Arabidopsis thaliana: one gene and its partners. The protein of the gene in region 1 purifies or fractionates together with the protein of each later gene. This does not show direct contact. Each region holds a gene or a part of one and is shown in the gene's direction. Other genes may lie near its edges. The genes, in order: MTHFR2, GDH2 and GDH3.

Region 1 (3,756 bases):
CTTCTCCAGTTTACTTTGTAACATATCTGTTTTTATGTTGAGTTGTGACACTAAGAAATAGAGCAGGTTTGTTCAGTTTGGTGCAGATCAAGACTGCCATTGTGGGGCTGTAGGTTGCAGAAGGAAGCTTGGTGTAAAACCTAGCAAACCTAAGATAGCCTCGGATGAAGCTTTTAATCTAGTGGCACATGAATTGGCCCAGACACTGCCCAAGGTATTTTCAAATTTTATCTGAAAAGAAGAATCAAATATATATCTCGTCTTTGCCCTGGCATAGTTTCACAGTCACTGAAAAATTTGTGTGATGAGGTCTAAGTGACTCTTTTTCTTTCCCCACTTTTGGTTAGGTGCATCAAAATGGACTTGTAAATAGACACATAGATGCAGGTAAGTTTGGATTTTTTCTGCTCAATTTGCGAGAGTAGCTTATTGTGTTTTGGTTGTAAGAAAGTAATTTGGATTCCCATGTTTCTCCAGGAAAATCATGGAACAATCTTAGTCAAAGGGATACATGTTCGCGTAATTGCATTGGTGTGGTGATCAGGTTATCTCGCCCCACGAGTGATAGGTATTTATTGAGTTTTGAACTCGTGGATTAGTTTTATGACTCATTCTATGCTTTTCTCATCCAATGTTTTATCTTTTGAGATTTTCAGGTGTTTTGGCCTCGTTAGACATTTTGATGAGTATTCAAGAAAGCACTCGGTATTACAATTAGCCAATACTTGTTCCTCACCATCGAACTTGGCAAAATCATTCTCAATTAAGACCTCTCTGTTAACATCTTTAAACTTGGTCCAGGTGATGTTCGAGGATGGTGTTACCGAGTTTGTCGACATGTCGAGAGAAGACTGGGAGATTGTCTAATATTGTTTTCAGGTGATTTATACTCTTCACTCTCTTAATGAAACATTAAAACTCCCAGAAGCATAGAGTATTAAATTACCCTGGCTGCTATGTTTCTGCAGATTGCTTTGAAGTTGAGAAACCAAAATAACCTGTCTTGGTAAACTAAAGGTATCCCAAAAAACCCGGGTCTGACTGACTGGGATTGGTGCAGTGACATTGTTTGTTGCGTCTAACTTGTGACCTGTGTTTGTACAACCATTATAAGAGATATCATATATCTACTTGTGTAACCACATCTGTACTTTCTTCTCCTTCCTTCTTTTTTCATGGGGATCTCAAATGATGATGTCTTGCAAGAACCTTCGTGGTGTGTAATTGACTTTGTAAGAACCGGTAATCTCATATCCGGTTTAGCTTTTAAAAATTTGTATCCAAAGACCGGTTTGTTCTTGTTTGCATGTGCTGTTCTTATTCGTGCATCTGTGTGAGTGTGACTGTGTCGGTGTCGCCGACAAAAGCCGGTGTTTGCAAAATCTGACCAGTTTTGTTTTAGCGATTAACGTTTCAAATTCCTTCAAATGCAAAATGAGTTAAACAAGTGAAAAATTACTAAAACAACATAACAGTTTTAAATTGGAAAAAGTTTTGTAAAGTTTAAAGATACACTGTAAGTGAAAAACGGAAAATTTTAATTAGATTTTTTTTTTTTTTTTTTTTTTTTGGTAAAAGTAGATTATTTTTGTTAAACAAAAGTGATGGATCATTGGTTTTTTGGTAGTAGGTGGGTGATGTGGGTGTGTGGTTCTGGTTCACCAACTCAAAAAGCATAGACTGCAGGGGTTGGGGATTGATAACGACAAATCTAATTGTGGTTGGTAAATCTTTTACTAATCACATTCCTTTAAAATAATTATGTAACTCATCTTGTTTACTAATATCAACTCGACTATCTTAATATCAAATAACTCGGATTCTTCATTTTTTTCACTTTAGAATGGTTTGGTAAATCTCTTGAATAATAAACACTTTAATAAAAATGTTTTTTTTTGTCAAGCATAAAAATGTAACTCATGTTGTCTAACTACATGGATTTTCGCACAAAACAATGATTAAATGTAAATTATGTAATTATACTTTATTTAAAGTATGATTTTGTCTTAAAAATGAAAATAATATAAGGAAGTGGACGGGTAAGGTAAAGTCTAAAATTCACCAAACATTTTGGAATCTCTCTGTTTACTATAAAGCAGTGAGTAGAAGAACCTGAAAGAACTCGCCTTTGTCTCTCATTCTTCTTCTCCATTTCGAAAAGAAGATGAAGGTGATAGATAAGATCCAGTCATTAGCCGACGAAGGCAAAACAGCGTTTTCCTTCGAATTCTTCCCACCAAAGACAGAAGATGGAGTCGACAATCTCTTTGAGAGAATGGATCGAATGGTTGCTTATGGTCCAACGTTTTGCGATATCACTTGGGGAGCTGGTGGATCTACCGCAGATCTAACGCTTGATATAGCTTCGAGGATGCAAAACGTTGTTTGTGTTGAGAGTATGATGCATCTTACGTGTACTAACATGCCTGTTGAGAAGATTGATCATGCTCTTGAGACTATTAGATCTAATGGGATTCAGAATGTGCTTGCTCTTAGAGGTGATCCTCCTCATGGTCAAGATAAGTTTGTTCAGGTTGAAGGTGGTTTTGATTGTGCTTTGGATCTTGTTAATCACATTCGTAGCAAGTATGGTGATTACTTTGGTATCACTGTCGCTGGTTATCCTGGTAATGTCTCGAATTCGAATTTGATTTCTTTGTTTCGTGTGATTTGTAGCTAAAGATTGGATTTTTATGTGTTTTGATATTTCAGAGGCGCATCCTGATGTTATTGGTGAGAATGGTCTTGCGTCTAATGAAGCTTATCAGAGTGATCTTGAGTATCTGAAGAAAAAGGTTTGTTTTGTTTGTTTTTGTTTTGCTTTGTTCTTAAATGTCTGCATCAATTTTTGAATTTGGGTTTGTCTTGGAACAGATTGATGCTGGAGCTGATCTGATTGTTACTCAGCTTTTCTATGATACTGATATATTCCTCAAGTTTGTGAATGATTGTCGGCAAATTGGGATTAGTTGTCCCATTGTTCCTGGAATTATGCCTATTAATAACTACAGAGGCTTTTTGCGTATGACTGGTTTCTGCAAGACTAAGGTAAGTTTTGATCGTTTAGTAAACACCAGTTCCTGCAAATGAATCACCTTTTAGGAGATGAATGATATTGCTTGTTGCCTTTCCATAAAGGTGTTTGTTTGCTAGCTTAGGATATGTTTTTAAAAAAGTGTATTTAAGGTTTCGTGATCAGCTAGATGAAATTGAGATACTTGATTATATTATTGTTTTCAGAGAAAGTGTTTGTTGGATAGCTATTCAAAGAGAATTCTTTATATTAATGTAGATACCAGCTGTGCTTTTTGTGAAAAAAAGATAGATGAATTTACATATGATTATATTAATGTAGATACCAGTTGAGGTGATGGCTGCCTTGGAGCCTATCAAGGATAACGAAGAAGCTGTGAAAGCCTATGGTATTCACCTTGGAACAGAGATGTGTAAAAAGATGTTGGCTCATGGAGTCAAGTCTCTTCATCTCTACACATTGAACATGGAGAAATCTGCTCTTGCAATATTGATGGTTGGTCCTCACTTTTTCTACTTGATGTAAAGCATGATACTGATAGTGGAGTAGCTTTACTATTTTGTTGTTGTTTCAGAATCTTGGTATGATTGATGAGTCCAAAATTTCTCGTTCTTTACCCTGGAGACGCCCTGCAAATGTTTTCCGTACTAAGGAAGATGTGCGCCCCATTTTCTGGTAACAGAGCTTAGTTTCTCTCGTTCTGATTATACTTAGCCACATAT
Region 2 (3,756 bases), on another chromosome or scaffold:
ATTTCATATCATCTCATTTACATATAGAACTACATTTTATATATATATTTGATTATAAACTGAATTTGATATTGTGTGTTGTATAAATACAGGACGGTGTTCTATGGAGAATACAAGTGTTTCGGACCAGGGTCACACTTAGAGAAGAGAGTGCCTTACACACAAGATATTGACAAAAACGAAGTTACGCCTTTCCTCACTCTTGGTTACATTAAGGGCTCCACATGGCTACTTCCTCCTCCTAAATACTGAAATTTTTCTTAAGACAACTTATTTGTTGTAACACCGTTCTTTAATTTATAATTGAAATGTTCCCATCTTTTTAGTTTCTTTATTTTTTTTTTGTATTGCTTAAGATATGAATTGATCAATATTTTTTCTACATATATAAATCTTCCAATTCATTCATTTCTATATATACCGGATGTTTGTGGTGTTTTTGTTTTCCTTTATTTAGAAATTCCTATAGGATATATATACAAAATTTGTTTTTGTAAAATATCATAATTATGTTCACACCCTATTGAGTTAATGATTTGTTTTTGTTTTTCTTATGTTAAACGTTCATGGTATATATGTTTAAAGTACCAACAAAAAGAAAGAGTCAATGTCTATCCATGATATATATGCTTTTATTAAACATTTTGATTATTTTAACCAAAAAAAAGTAGAACACACACATTTTCTAGATCTCATCATTTTAATAGTTCTAGTTGCAAATGTTAAACTTCAATATTTTTCGTATATATATGAATCAGCTTCTTCTTTCTTTAATTTTCTCGGCGAATTAGTATATTTTAATCCATAAGAGATGCATGCATAAATTTTATTGAATTAAGTGAAGACCCAATGGTCAAAAGAAAAAAAAAATATAGATATGCACCGACGAAGCCGCCGCGAGTAGCCGCGTCACAGCCAGGTCAGCAAAAAGTCGCCATCCAATTAAAGAAGAGAAGGATAGCAACTTCTGCAACGTGTTCTGCTGAGTCTGACTTAGATTCGGAATCTGGTTCTTACGATTTAATGACCATCCGATTTTCAACGGCTAAGATTGTTTAGAACCATTAGTACAATATTGTCACATCCGCAGAGAATCCACGCCCCTAAATGAGCTTTACTTCCATGTTTTTCGCATCTCCTCGTGATAACATCGACGATCAATTTTTTTTCTTTCACGTTTTGTTGATATATATAAATACGTTTTCGGAAATGTTTTAAATAAATATTGTTGGTCATATTCTATAGTATATTCGGATTAAAATCATTTTTAATTTCACTAATTATGGAGAGATATTCCTAAAATGCCTTAGTATTTAAAGAATGCGAGTCAATTGCACTAGATGCATGTTTTTATTTTGTTTCTAACGTGGACCTTATGTAAGCAGGTCTGAAGTTTATCCACAATTTGCTGTACTAATTGATAACATTTGTATATGTATTCCAAATATGAAATGTCATTAAATGTCTCATAAAAGTGATAATACAATACTGTATTTGGGAAAAATAAATGAGTCATACAACATAGTAATCAACAAGGTAAAAAGTCATATAACGCCGTCCCCAAAAACAGTCTGTCCCAGCTCCATCCTAATTGGGTATCCACGTCCCGATCCTGTCACAGGACACCAGTAAGAAAACGGAAACCGAAAATTTCAAGAAACCAATATCGTTTTCTTTTCCTCAATTAAAGTTATAAAAAAAAAAAAATCCCTGAAAATATCACATGGTTTTTTAAAACAATTAGTGTTAAAATCAAAATTTACTACCTTCTCCACCGTTATTTACGAATTTACCATGTTGGTATATTCTTAAAAACTTTTGTAGTTCTTGTAATTACTAAATTTTTTTTCCGTAATTTTTTCGATTATTATTTATAACTTTCCAACTCAAGCCAATATTTTTTTAGTAAATTTTAAAGGAATGTTAATCTTCTAAAGATATGTTTGACTTAAAAAGGAGTTAAAAATGATGAGATAGCCAAAAAAAAGATTAGAGAAATCCAAATAAATAATAAGGGGTAAAAGAGTCATTGCAGTCGATAATTAGTCTCCGTCTGACGTAGGATACGTCAAAAATATCCGATCTCATTCAAATTACGCTTTCTCTTCTTTCCCCTACAAATACTCAATTCTTTCTTCTTCAATTCATCACAACAAATCAAAAACTCCAAGTTCTTACCTTTTTCCCATTTACAATCGGTAAATTTCTCCGATCACGAGATACAAATTTCACTTTCTGATATCTTGGATCTTCCGATCACTTTGAATTTTTTGGTTTGTTGATTTTTTTTTTTTTTTTGTTCCATAAAGTTCGAATTTTTTATAGAGAAGAAACCATGAATGCTTTAGCTGCAACAAACAGAAACTTCCGTCATGCATCTCGAATCCTGGGTTTGGATTCGAAGATCGAGAGAAGTCTTATGATCCCATTTAGAGAAATCAAGGTTTGACTTTTTTTTTTCCTTTTGAGGTTTTACTCTTTTGTTTCGTTTTTGGGGAAAATTCGTCTCAATCTTTGTTTGGATTTTTTTACTTTTGATTTCAGGTTGAGTGTACGATTCCTAAAGACGATGGCACTCTGGTTTCATACATCGGATTTAGGGTTCAACATGACAATGCTCGTGGACCCATGAAAGGTGGAATCAGATATCATCCTGAGGTAGGGTCTTTTATCATTTGTTCTTGATCTAGGATTTAAAGTTGACAACTTTGGGGGTTATAGATTGAATCTAGGGATTTGAATTAAGGGTTTTGATTTTTTGGTTTGAAGGTTGATCCAGATGAAGTTAACGCACTAGCTCAGCTGATGACTTGGAAGACTGCTGTAGCAGATATTCCATATGGTGGTGCTAAAGGTGGAATTGGATGTAGTCCTCGTGACTTGAGTTTGAGCGAGCTTGAGAGGTTGACTCGTGTGTTTACACAGAAGATTCATGATCTTATCGGTATTCATACCGATGTGCCTGCTCCTGATATGGGCACTAACGCTCAAACCATGGCTTGGATTCTTGATGAGTACTCCAAGTTTCATGGTCATTCCCCTGCTGTTGTCACTGGAAAGCCCATTGTAAGGCTTTTAAGATTTTGGTTATATCATTCTGAGTCCGGAATCTGTTGTTTATTCTATGGATGTTTTCTTGATTTGAATTAATTCGATGTTTCTATGTGATTACCATAGTTTTGAGCTTTTTGGTATAGAAGTAACTGTTGGATCACTTTGGTGTAGGATCTTGGTGGTTCATTAGGTAGGGAAGCTGCCACAGGTCGTGGTGTAGTATTTGCCACCGAAGCTCTTCTTGCTGAGTACGGGAAATCGATTCAGGGTTTGACATTTGTTATTCAAGTAAAACCATTATCAGCTAATCTCAGATCTCAAGCTTTATTGTGTATATGATATAAGACAGAAATGTTGAGAGATTTGGATGATATGTGACAGGGTTTTGGGAATGTTGGAACATGGGCTGCGAAGCTGATCCACGAGAAAGGCGGTAAAGTGGTTGCAGTAAGCGACATTACTGGTGCAATCAGGAACCCTGAAGGTATCGACATCAACGCTCTCATAAAACACAAGGACGCAACTGGAAGTCTCAATGATTTCAATGGTGGAGACGCTATGAATTCAGATGAATTGCTCATTCATGAGTGTGATGTTCTCATTCCATGCGCTCTTGGTGGTGTCCTGAACAAGTCAGTTCAAAAACTTCACTCATCAAATCAACACCAATCATAGAGATTCACTTTCTGATTCTTATATTTC
Region 3 (3,756 bases), on another chromosome or scaffold:
ACAGAGATAATCACGGATTGAAACGATTAGATTACAGGAAAGGGGAACAAAATGGGTCCTTTTCCATGGCATTGAGAAAGTAATTACCTTGGAATCAATGTGCTCTGGTTCTCGAAGAAAGCTTTTTTGTTTTTGTTTTACCTTTTGCTTTTTTCCATCTCCTCGAGTTTCTTGGGGTCATTGTGAATAAGAAAATGGGAACCGACGTTAAAGGAGCGGCAGACAGATGGAGAGAAGAGAACGCTCGGAGGTGATGGTAATAATGAGACTTGGTCCCTTGAGAGAGCATTTAAGTTTAGTTTTTCACTTAGATATTATTGGGCTTCAAGCCCATAATTTTATAGGACAATTGTGGCCTTTAATTGATTTTTGAATTTTAGGTTTGATTTTAGACTTTTTAATATTCTAAATACATGTTTTGCTTTTCGTAGAGGGAATGGCCTTTTATATTTGTTTGAGTTATTATTTTTCATTTATTAAAAAGTGATAGAAAGCTAATGCATAACGTTTTAAAAATACTAAATCCTTGACATTAGCTACCATGAACAGTATTCTTTAATGGGGTATTATTTCTGTATATATATTGGTTTGACCAAAGAATATAAAAAAATTGCTTCATTTAATTGTTATGCATTAGCTTTCTATCACTTTAATATTTTAAATACATGTTTAGCTTTTCGTAGTTTGTTGTTTATTAGGGAATGGCCTTTTAGGAGAAAGTCCAATTGGTTTTTTTTTTTTTTTTTTTTTTCATGTATTAAAAAGTGATAGAAAGCTAATGCATAACGTTTTAAAAATACTAAATCCTTGACATTAGCTACCAAGCCTACCATGAACCGGATTCTTTATTGGGGTATTATTTCTATATATTGGTTTGACCAAAGAGGGTGAGATCAAATTTGGAAACACTATTTACGGTCAATGTTGTTATTACGAAATTGATATCTTCTTTTGGAAATTGAAAGAGAAAGAAATCTTGGTGGAAATCCACAATAAATCAATTATATTAGTGGAAGCATAAATCATGGGGAATCTCTTTTCCAAAAAGATTCTTTCATGGTGGAATCTTGTAATTCTATATGTTTCTTGATTTGTTGCATCCTCTCGTGTCCTCCTCTAATTCCAAAAAGATTCTGATTTGAGTATCTAAAAAAACATATATCCGTAGAATCTTTTCAATTAAAACTGAATATTGTATGTGTGTGATAAGTTTATACGTTTTTTTCCCACTAGCTCACTAAAGTGTATACGTTTTTTTTTGTCACCCTCTCACAAAAGTGTATACGCTATGCCTATATGTGTAGGGGCAAGTAGAATTGAATAAGTTAATAACACGTAAAGATCTTATGACATGCAAGATTCATTTCGGGTCGTATATCACAAATATGTAAATGATTATTAATATATATATAATCGTAGATAATAAAACAAAAAAAAAGTATTATTATCGTCCCACATTAACGTATTACAATTTGACTATGATTTTTCATGCACGAGTATAGTCATCCGGTCCAATGCATGCTATTGCTAGATCATTATTGTATCATATTTTCTTATTTAAAAAAAAAAACAAATTCTGAAAAACAATATCTTGGTCCTTGCTTATTAGGTGGGTACTAATTAGGTAATACGAAATGTTATTTTTTCCTTTAATCTAGATTTAAAATGAATAAAATGACAGTGTGTGACACAATAAGATAAATTTTACGAGCTATCTCTTTCATCCATGTAATATTTATAATCTTGTGAAATCTTGATTTTTCCTATTTTTATTCTGATCTTTTTGTAATGAAAAGAATATATTTATTCTGCTTGATTAGTCTACGGATTTCCTTTTCATTAATGAATATTCCATTATTCTGATCTAGTTTATACACATGGTGAAGACATGGGCTATTTCTATAATCTATATATTTTTTTTGTGTGAGAACTTTGCTAAACAGACACATAGTATTCTGAATACTCAAAATCAGGATCAATTATGGGTATCATCTTATATGATTATTCATATTCCTTATATAAATTATCTTTTATTATAAATATAAATAACAAAATTTTCATTCTCATATTCCATAACACGAAGTGTGTACGTATCACTCTATATAAATAAACTTGCAATAACATAAGCAAGACTCACATTTTTCCAACTGTCTTCATATCAGACTCTCTGATCAAATAAACCCAAAATAAAGAAGAGAGAAGAAAGCCATGAATGCTTTAGCAGCAACCAACAGAAACTTCAAGCTTGCTTCTAGGCTTCTTGGTTTAGACTCAAAGCTCGAGAAAAGTCTTCTCATTCCCTTCAGAGAGATCAAGGTTCGATGTTTTCCTCTGTTTTCTTCTTCCATCTATAACAGATCTGCAGAACCGATCCGGTTCAAGATCATTTGAACGGAACTAACCAACTATTGCAGGTGGAATGTACCATACCAAAAGACGATGGAACTCTAGCATCCTTTGTTGGATTCAGAGTTCAACACGACAATGCAAGAGGTCCCATGAAAGGTGGAATCAGATATCATCCAGAGGTTTGTTTTACTCTGTTTTTTTTTCATCAAACCAAAACAAATTCAATATTGGCATGAAGTAAACCAGATTTCGGTAATCGACAGGTTGAACCGGATGAAGTAAACGCTTTGGCTCAACTTATGACATGGAAAACAGCAGTGGCTAAGATACCTTATGGAGGAGCCAAAGGAGGAATCGGTTGTGACCCGAGCGAGCTAAGTCTCTCAGAGCTCGAACGTTTGACTCGAGTTTTCACTCAGAAGATTCACGATCTTATTGGGATTCATACTGATGTTCCAGCTCCTGATATGGGAACCGGTCCTCAGGTTTCGAAAACATGATCTTGAAGTCTTCATCTTGTATTTTACGTGTTGTTCTTGTCTGAAATATAGTGATGAAAATTTTCAGACAATGGCTTGGATTCTTGATGAATACTCAAAATTCCATGGACATTCTCCTGCTGTTGTCACTGGAAAACCCATTGTAAGTGACCGTTCTAATCGCGGTTTTAGGTTGGTTCGGTTTATGTGTTCAACTAATCTAAAACTGAATGAGATTTGATTTTTGAGGATGATGTTTTGAGCAGGATCTTGGTGGATCTCTTGGGAGAGATGCTGCTACAGGAAGAGGAGTGTTGTTTGCAACAGAAGCTTTACTCAACGAACATGGAAAGACCATATCTGGACAGCGATTCGCCATCCAGGTAAAAGAAGTTACAATGTTTAGTCAGAGAGATTACTTCGGTGTCAGGGTACTCATACTGTCTCTGCGTTTTAGGGCTTTGGAAATGTGGGTTCTTGGGCAGCGAAGTTGATAAGTGACAAAGGTGGTAAGATTGTGGCGGTGAGTGATGTCACAGGAGCAATCAAGAACAATAATGGAATTGACATCTTGAGTTTGCTCGAGCATGCTGAAGAAAACAGAGGAATCAAAGGGTTTGATGGTGCTGATTCAATCGATCCTGATTCGATTCTTGTCGAAGATTGTGATATTCTTGTCCCTGCAGCTCTAGGGGGAGTCATCAACAGGTCTTTTATAGTTTCTTGTCTCAAAAATATTAATCTATTCTCTATCATGATTTCCTCTAAACCTCTGGCTTTGGTCTGTTTTAGGGAAAATGCAAACGAAATAAAAGCCAAATTCATCATTGAAGGTGCTAATCACCCAACTGATCCTGAGGCTGACGAGGTTATTCGAAAATCTGATACTTTGTTTTTGCTCTTTCTTCTTCTCAAACTCGCGTAACAG

What was found.
Region 2: the proteins of MTHFR2 (region 1) and GDH2 fractionate together in Arabidopsis thaliana (co-fractionation; one large-scale study listed by BioGRID). This does not show direct contact.
Region 3: the proteins of MTHFR2 (region 1) and GDH3 fractionate together in Arabidopsis thaliana (co-fractionation; one large-scale study listed by BioGRID). This does not show direct contact.

What each region holds. Positions count from the first base shown.
Region 1 is NC_003071.7:18,260,137-18,263,892, forward strand, and holds the start of MTHFR2 (methylenetetrahydrofolate reductase 2), read left to right. Parts: upstream 1-2,052; 5' UTR 2,053-2,164; coding exon 2,165-2,627; intron 2,628-2,712; coding exon 2,713-2,795; intron 2,796-2,874; coding exon 2,875-3,048; intron 3,049-3,355; coding exon 3,356-3,529; intron 3,530-3,608; coding exon 3,609-3,709; intron 3,710-3,756. Other genes in the region: histone-lysine N-methyltransferase ASHH3, read left to right, coding at 67-214, 348-387, 478-568, 657-705, 802-867.
Region 2 is NC_003076.8:2,353,818-2,357,573, forward strand, and holds the start of GDH2 (glutamate dehydrogenase 2), read left to right. Parts: upstream 1-1,941; 5' UTR 1,942-2,335; coding exon 2,336-2,443; intron 2,444-2,544; coding exon 2,545-2,658; intron 2,659-2,769; coding exon 2,770-3,066; intron 3,067-3,225; coding exon 3,226-3,342; intron 3,343-3,435; coding exon 3,436-3,686; coding exon of another isoform or gene 3,687-3,729; exon of another isoform or gene 3,730-3,756. Other genes in the region: AT5G07430 (Pectin lyase-like superfamily protein), read left to right, coding at 93-252.
Region 3 is NC_003074.8:1,004,705-1,008,460, forward strand, and holds the start of GDH3 (glutamate dehydrogenase 3), read left to right. Parts: upstream 1-2,075; 5' UTR 2,076-2,208; coding exon 2,209-2,316; intron 2,317-2,414; coding exon 2,415-2,528; intron 2,529-2,612; coding exon 2,613-2,834; intron 2,835-2,916; coding exon 2,917-2,991; intron 2,992-3,094; coding exon 3,095-3,211; intron 3,212-3,285; coding exon 3,286-3,536; intron 3,537-3,620; coding exon 3,621-3,696; intron 3,697-3,756.